2 linked regions of the Caenorhabditis elegans genome follow. The protein of the gene in region 1 interacts with the protein of each later gene in a pairwise test. Each region holds a gene or a part of one and is shown on either strand. Other genes may lie near its edges.

Region 1 (3,754 bases):
GCTAGATTCGATTTCTTCTCAAAGGAATGAGCAGTAGATACCAGATTAATCGATTCGACAACTTTCTTCAGCACAGGGTTCTTCTTCATCACCGAGGAATATAGATCACGATTCGCTGGCTTCTGATTGTAGACATTGCTGTTTGAAAGAATTGACGGTTCAGTAGAGGGGCATTTCAGATATTCCATCACCACCAACACCTTCATCCACTTCTTCGCCTGGAACGACGGGATTTTCTACAAAAATCGGATTTTTTCTCTATGTCAGTTTAATTGATGTATAATTCCGAAAAGTCAGTCTTTCCTAGGTTTTTAAATTGAAACATTTCAGATATTCCATCACCACCAATACCTTCATCCACTTCTTCGCCTGGAACGACGGGATTTTCTACAAAAATCGGATTTTTTCTCTATGTCAGTTTAATTGATGTATAATTCCGAAAAGTCAGTCTTTCCTAGGTTTTTAAATTGAAACATTTCAGATATTCCATCACCACCAACACCTTCATCCACTTCTTCGCCTGGAACGACGGGATTTTCTACAAAAATCGGATTTTTTCTCTATGTCAGTTTAATTGATGTATAATTCCGAAAATTCAGTCTTTCCTAGGTTTTTAAATTGAAACATTTCAGATCGTCCACCACGTCCACCATCTTCATCAGCTTCTTCGTCTCCAGCTCCTGGATCTGCCAAAACCCCTATTTTTTTTTCTTGGTCAGTCAGATTTATGTAAAAATCCGAAAAGTCAGCCTTCCCTAGGTTTTTAAATTAAAACATTTCAGATATTTCATCACCACCAACATCTTCATCAACTTCTTCATCTCGAACTCCTGGATTTCCTACAAAAATCGGATTTTTTTCTCTTGGTCAGTCAGATTTATGTAAAAGTCCGAAAATTCAGTCTCCCCTAGGTTTTTAAATTGGAAAATTTTCAGATAGTCCACCTCCACCGCCTTCTTCATCCACTTCTTCGTCTCGAACTCCTGGATTTTGCAGAAAAGGGCGACCCACCTCCACTGCACAAAATGCGTCCGCTCTCTTAATAACTTTGTTAATATTTATTTTTTTTAAGTTTAATTATAATAAAGTGAATAATATTAATAATAAATTTTCCAATTTATAAACGTATTATATTGTCTTCTCAATGCACTGATGATGTGTAGAGTTCTGCTGATTTTCGATTCCTGAAAAAAAACAGGCTACGAATGTTTCCAAGTCGACTTGAATATTGTCTTTTTTCCCAGCTTTTTCCGAGGAGTGGCCCTCATGATATTTTGTAGTCTTATCTGTGATTTTTGGAATGTGAAAAAAATTTATTTTTTTTCAAGAATTTAATTTTAATTTTTTTTTTCAGCATTTTTGGTTAAAAATTTTCTTCCAAAATTTACAAATTCAGTGCGAAACGATCAATTTTCCATACAAAAATATTGGAGGCATGAAAAAACTAAATTTGAATGCGCGCGAAAAAAGTGTTCAATGGAGCGCGTTTACTCGTCGAGCACTTCGGGAAGAGGGGGTACGTTTTCGTAAGGGGATTTTTTCGTAAGGAACGCTTTCAGTAGGGCAATGTGCGGCGCGCCTTTTCGCAAGCCCGCCGCACAGTCCTTCGCAATGCGCCGCACGGCTTTTTGCAATGCGCCGCACGCTTCTTCGTATTTATTTATTTATTTTTCCAACAGGAAATTTCGAACGGAATTCAATTAAAAACGGATTTTTAATGGAAATTAATTAGTTTTATTCGAGCTAAATACGGATATTTTCAGAATTTTCGATGACAAAAACGGGTTTCAATCGATTTCGAATCGATTGCGAAGGACTGTGCGGCGGGCTTGCGAAAAGGCGCGCCGCACATTGCCCTACTGAAAGCGTTCCTTACGAAAAAATCCCCTTACGAAAGCGTACCCCCTCTTCGGGAACGATAATTTGAAGTCTGTTTTTTCGAGACACAAATAATTGTTTTGATTATTCGGCATTATTTATTTGCGAAAATTTATTCTTCTCTATATTACTGTCATAATTTTCAGTTTTAATTTCATTTCAGGTACTTCGACCCACCAAAGCAAAATGTACGATGCATACACGCCTTGCGAAGTAGCTCTCCGATTACCCGTAGAAGTAACATGTCTTGCATTTCAAGGTTTTCAATATCAAATCACTGGAATTTACAATCATGATTGCTTTCAGAATCGAATCAAACCTTGTTAGCCGGTGGAAGAGCAGGACATCTCTATGCATACACAATTTCAGCTAGTAATATTTAATCGTCAAGAAATCTATTTCTAAATATTGATAAATTACAGATCGTCGTGGATTCGAGCTCACAAATATCTGCAAAAGCTTTCACAAGAAAGCAGTAATGGAACTGAAAGTTTGCCAACGTGAAGATCTCCTTTTGTGCGTGTCCGACGGTCAATTGATGGCTCACAAGCTCAGCGATCCAGAGTATAAAGTTGAAACATTAATTCACAAAGTGAAGCCTGTTCAGACTTTTGCAAGATTTTCACCCAAGGTTCATTGGAAACTTTCCGAATTTTCTATTCAATATTTTTGTTTTCAGACATCTGGAGACCTGTACGTAATTGTTTCGTCACGAAAGAAGTTATATTTATTCAAATGGGGAGAGAAAGATGGCCACAAAGAATTTATAGAAGTTGCATTGGATTATAATCCAGTTTTCTTGGATACTCCAACATCTATAAGGTACAAAAGTTTATGAAACAAATTAAAGATAGAATAAATTACAGATGCGTTGGTGAAATGGTATTCTTTTCTGTTCGAAACGAGTATTTTTCTATGACAATGCAAAAAGATAAGACAACCACTTCGCCAAGTGAAGGTTCAACTCCGGAAGGATGGAATGGTTTTGTAACTCGTCTTTTAAATTTCAACTGTCAGCCTGGCATTGTGCCAATGATCGATCGAAGAAGAGTTGCATTTGTGAGGAATGAAATAGTTGTAACCACTGATATTTGGGGACAACGTCCGGCAAATGTATTAAGTGACGAGTACAAGTTCAGCGAAGTTCCCATGCAAATCGGTAACTTTATTGTGGAATTAAATTATTTAATTAGTTACCTATAAATTTCCAGTATACGATTCACCTTACTTGGTTGGAATGCTCTCAAAAGGCCGCGTCGAAGTTCGTTCAATTTTCGATGGTCAACTTGTACAGACAATGTCCCTCCCGAAGGCTATGACACTCTGCAGTGGTGCTCGTGGACAAGTGTTCGTCGCTGCTCTTTCCGATATTTGGATTCTTGATACTTCACAAAATCTTCGAAAAAACGTGTCTCATTTGATACAGGAACGTCATTTCGAGCTAGCAATTCAATTGGCTGAAAATTCGAATTTATTTGCAGAAGAACAGAAATTAGAAATTAAAAAGAAGGCTGCATTGAATTTATTCAATCAGAAGAAGTTTGACGAGTCATTCGCATTATTTGGAGAAATTAAAACCGGTTAGTGCTTCATTTCACATAAGAAAATTAAAATTTTTTTTGAGATATTTCAGAAGTGCTCTCAATTATTCGAATGTTTCCCGAGCTTCTTCCAGATGGATTTCAATCAATGACCGGAGTTGTCAGTGATATGCCTGCTAACGACAGAATGCGTGCTCTTTTGGCTCTCGGTAGTTATCTATCTGAAATTCGAACTGAACACGCGAAGCATATTGAATTATACAATCGTTTGTACTCATCGGGAGCGGCAAAGAAAACTGATGAAGATGAGAAGGCAAAGCTCTTGTTGACATTGA
Region 2 (3,754 bases), 6.2 Mb from region 1:
GGTATTTTGAAGAATAGACGTTGACTGACTGGAAAGTTTTAACATTTCTTTAAATATGTGTTAAATATCCAACCTACATTCTCAATCATTTTCATTTTTCTTTCTTCCAAAATCTTTTTTCGTTTTCTTTCCGCTTCAATTTTCTTAGCTCCATTTTCATAGTCTACAAATTTTGTCTTCTTCAACGTCACCACCAAACATTTCATTCTTGCATCGTTCTTCACACACTTCTCCTTTTCCCAGCTTTTAATCACTGTTATCGCTTCGACTTTCAGCTCATTTCCATGTTTTTTCGAACCAGGGAGTGGGTTACGAATTGGGTTTGTTTCGAACATTAATTCGAGAAATTCCTAGAGAAATTTAATTTTTTAGTTTAATTTAAGCTTTCACAAAACTCACTGATGGATCATTGAGTAGATTTTCCCGAAATATTGGAAATTGTAAGAAGAAGCTATTGAACAGTTGCAGAATTAGTTTCCTATCGGGACATCCTGATCTCTTAAAATGTTTTAATTAATTAATTCTAATGTTAATCTTGAATCTTACGCTTGTAGTATCCAGCAATACTTCTATCACATTCTCGCAGCCTTCTTCGTCCTGATTTGCCACTTCTTTTTGCAAATTTTGATATGGTATTGATTCAAAGTCCAACTTTCCATCATCTGTCAGCTGAAAACTTTCGCATAATTTTGTTTTTTAGTTCCAAAACTCACTTCTCGTATGAATCGGTTCAAATTCTTCCTTATTATTGTTGTGGAGTTGTCAATTGAATCCATAAAACTGCAGTACTGAAAACAAAAACAAAAATAATGTTTTCTATCATAATCTTAAAGGCGCATGCAAAGAAAACCGTTCACAGGTCTCGAAGCGAAATAGGTGATACGGTTGTTTTTTTCAAATATTCCTCACTTTTGGTTGCCTTCTTTTCAACATTTTATTTGTTTCCCGATAAGTTTAGACGCCAATTTTTATTTCAAGGGAAATAATTTTATTTAGCGAAAATTATCAACATTTTTTCTTGCTTTGTTCTCAAGTTTGGCTTCATTTTTCTTCTGAAAATCACAAGAACGATGAAAACAACAGCGTATAAACATGAATTTAATTTCGCAATCAAATTATTTTCGAAATAATTCGTTAAGATGTACTTAAAAATTTAACAGCACATTTTATTTTTGTGAATATCTACTTTCGAAAAGTAAGTAAAATACATTTTACTCGTTGTTTCCGTTCTCACCAAACACAGAAATATCAGGTCCGCGAGTACCCAACAGCCGCGAAAGTTTTTGTCAAATGCGCTCCATCGTACTCTTTTGCGTCTGCGATGAATTCGAACAGGAAAGGCCGCGAGGAGACTTTCCCCGCGCGCGCCGGCGCGTGTCTTGTGATAAAAACTGGGATGGCCGCTGAGCATGAATCCGACGATTTCTCCCACTTCTTCCGTTTTTTGTCTCTCACACGTAAAATCTGCTTCACCGCTGTTTTTTTTCCGTTCTCATAGCAAATAATAGGTGTGTAGTGTGTCACGTGCGGCGATTTTGTTGCTTCTATTTTCATTCAATCTTTCTCATTTCGACATTTTCGACGCGCGTCTCGGCCAAAAATATTCAGAATGGTCCTTCCGTTTCTCAATTTCTTCTCCTGTCTTCATGTATCTGCAAACAAGTAAACATGCGAAAAAAAATCACATGACCCCTCCTCAATAGCTCCTACGCTTTGTTTTCAATGTTTTCCGAACGTAAAGAGAGGGCGCAAGTCATGCACATCACGTGACAAGACAAAGCGGGACGGGTGCACTCATCGAGGTGTCCTCAATCGATTTTTTACCGTTGCTTACAATAACATCGCGCGCTCTGTCCCAATTCAGCAAGGTCGCACACAATATTTTTCGCAGTGAGATTTGTTTGGCCGAACTTTTGCATTCAGCATTTCTCACTTCCTAGTCTTGAATAGATCCTTATCAATCCAGTAATTTCGAAACATTTGACTGTCAAAAGTGACGATGATGAAAGAAATATCTCTCGTCTTCTCCCATCTCCAATTTCCGTTTCTGAATTTATTTCTGTCAAACTTTAGGTCAATATTTTTTCCCTCTCTTGACATATATTTTCTACACCTTTTGGTTTGCAAATTTAAAAATAATTTTCTTATTTTCAGAACTGGGCTAGATCGATCGTCCCATCGTCAACAGTCGGTTGTGTGAGAGAGCGTGAGAGTGTGTGTGCGAGTGAAACGATATTTTGGCCTAATTTTCCAGCTTCACTGTGAGAAACACAGGATTTCTGCCCGAAAAGCGAGAGCCTGAACCCCGCCAGTTTTGTGTGTGCGTGAGTGTGTGAGACTGAACTGGAAACTACTGCCGATTTTTGCGAAATTTGATCGCTGGTAAGTTATTTTATATTTATAGTGTTGGTCAATAAATGCTATCAATTTCAGAAACCGACAATAAAAAAACATGGCTGTCTCAGCAATGGAAGTGCTCTCTGAAGCGAAGCGTCAATTCGCCCAAGGTGACCGTATCGATGTGACTCTTTTGGATCAAGTCGTCGAGATTATGAATCGAATGAGCGGAAAAGAACAGGCCGAGGCTAACCAAATCCTCATGTCGCTCAAGGAAGAACGCGATTCGTGGACCAAAGTCGATGCGATTCTTCAATATTCGCAGCTAAATGAGTCCAAGTATTTTGCACTTCAAATCCTTGAGACTGTCATCCAACACAAATGGAAGTCGTTGCCACAAGTCCAACGTGAAGGAATCAAGTCGTACATCATCACCAAAATGTTCGAATTGTCTTCTGATCAGAGTGTCATGGAACAAAGTCAACTGCTTCTTCACAAGTTGAACCTCGTTTTGGTTCAAATTGTCAAACAAGATTGGCCAAAGGCATGGCCAACATTCATCACCGATATTGTTGATTCATCGAAGAACAACGAGACCGTTTGCATCAACAATATGAATATTCTGAGCTTGTTGAGGTATTTTGAATTAGTTTTAAAATGTTTTGCTACATTTATTATATTTTTCAGCGAAGAAGTATTTGATTTCGGATCCCAAAACCTCACCCAAGCCAAGGAACAACATCTGAAACAACAATTCTGTGGACAGTTCCAAGAAGTATTCACACTGTGTGTCAGCATTCTCGAGAAATGTCCATCCAACTCTATGGTTCAAGCTACCTTGAAGACTCTTCAACGATTCCTCACCTGGATTCCAGTTGGCTACGTTTTCGAGACAAACATCACGGAATTGCTGTCTGAAAACTTCCTTTCGCTTGAAGTGTATCGTGTCATCGCTCTTCAATGTCTCACGGAAATTTCACAAATTCAAGTTGAAACCAACGATCCCAGCTACGACGAAAAGCTTGTCAAAATGTTCTGCTCTACAATGCGCCACATTAGCCAAGTTCTATCTTTGGACCTCGACCTGGCTGCTGTCTACAAAGATGCTTCCGATCAGGATCAGAAACTCATCAGTAGTCTGGCTCAATTTCTTGTCGCGTTCATCAAAGAGCACGTTCATCTGATTGAAGTAACTGATGAGCCATTAACTGAGGCTAAAATTTTAATGCGAGAATCTCACGACTATGCTATTCAACTTCTTTTGAAAATCACTTTGATCGAAGAAATGGAGGTTTTCAAAGTTTGCCTCGATTGTTGGTGCTGGTTGACTGCTGAGCTCTACCGTATATGTCCATTCATTCAGCCAAGTACTCTTTACGGAATGATGAGTCAGGTTCGTGAGCATCCACGTCGTCAA

The links. Proteins that work in one complex are often made in the same cells at the same time.
Region 2: the proteins of vps-39 (region 1) and xpo-1 interact in a two-hybrid assay, tested with the Caenorhabditis elegans proteins (one large-scale study listed by BioGRID).

What each region holds. Positions count from the first base shown.
Region 1 is NC_003283.11:14,036,660-14,040,413, reverse strand, and holds the start of vps-39 (Vacuolar protein sorting-associated protein 39 homolog), read left to right. Parts: upstream 1-2,041; 5' UTR 2,042-2,064; coding exon 2,065-2,137; intron 2,138-2,184; coding exon 2,185-2,250; intron 2,251-2,300; coding exon 2,301-2,509; intron 2,510-2,557; coding exon 2,558-2,700; intron 2,701-2,744; coding exon 2,745-3,037; intron 3,038-3,089; coding exon 3,090-3,458; intron 3,459-3,502; coding exon 3,503-3,754. UniProt on the Caenorhabditis elegans protein: Plays a role in vesicle-mediated protein trafficking to lysosomal compartments including the endocytic membrane transport and autophagic pathways.
Region 2 is NC_003283.11:7,802,910-7,806,663, forward strand, and holds the start of xpo-1 (Importin N-terminal domain-containing protein), read left to right. Parts: upstream 1-2,154; 5' UTR 2,155-2,382; intron 2,383-2,433; 5' UTR 2,434-2,452; coding exon 2,453-2,973; intron 2,974-3,024; coding exon 3,025-3,754. Other genes in the region: uvs-1 (UV-stimulated scaffold protein A homolog), read right to left, coding at 1-28, 78-350, 400-498, 547-669, 714-776.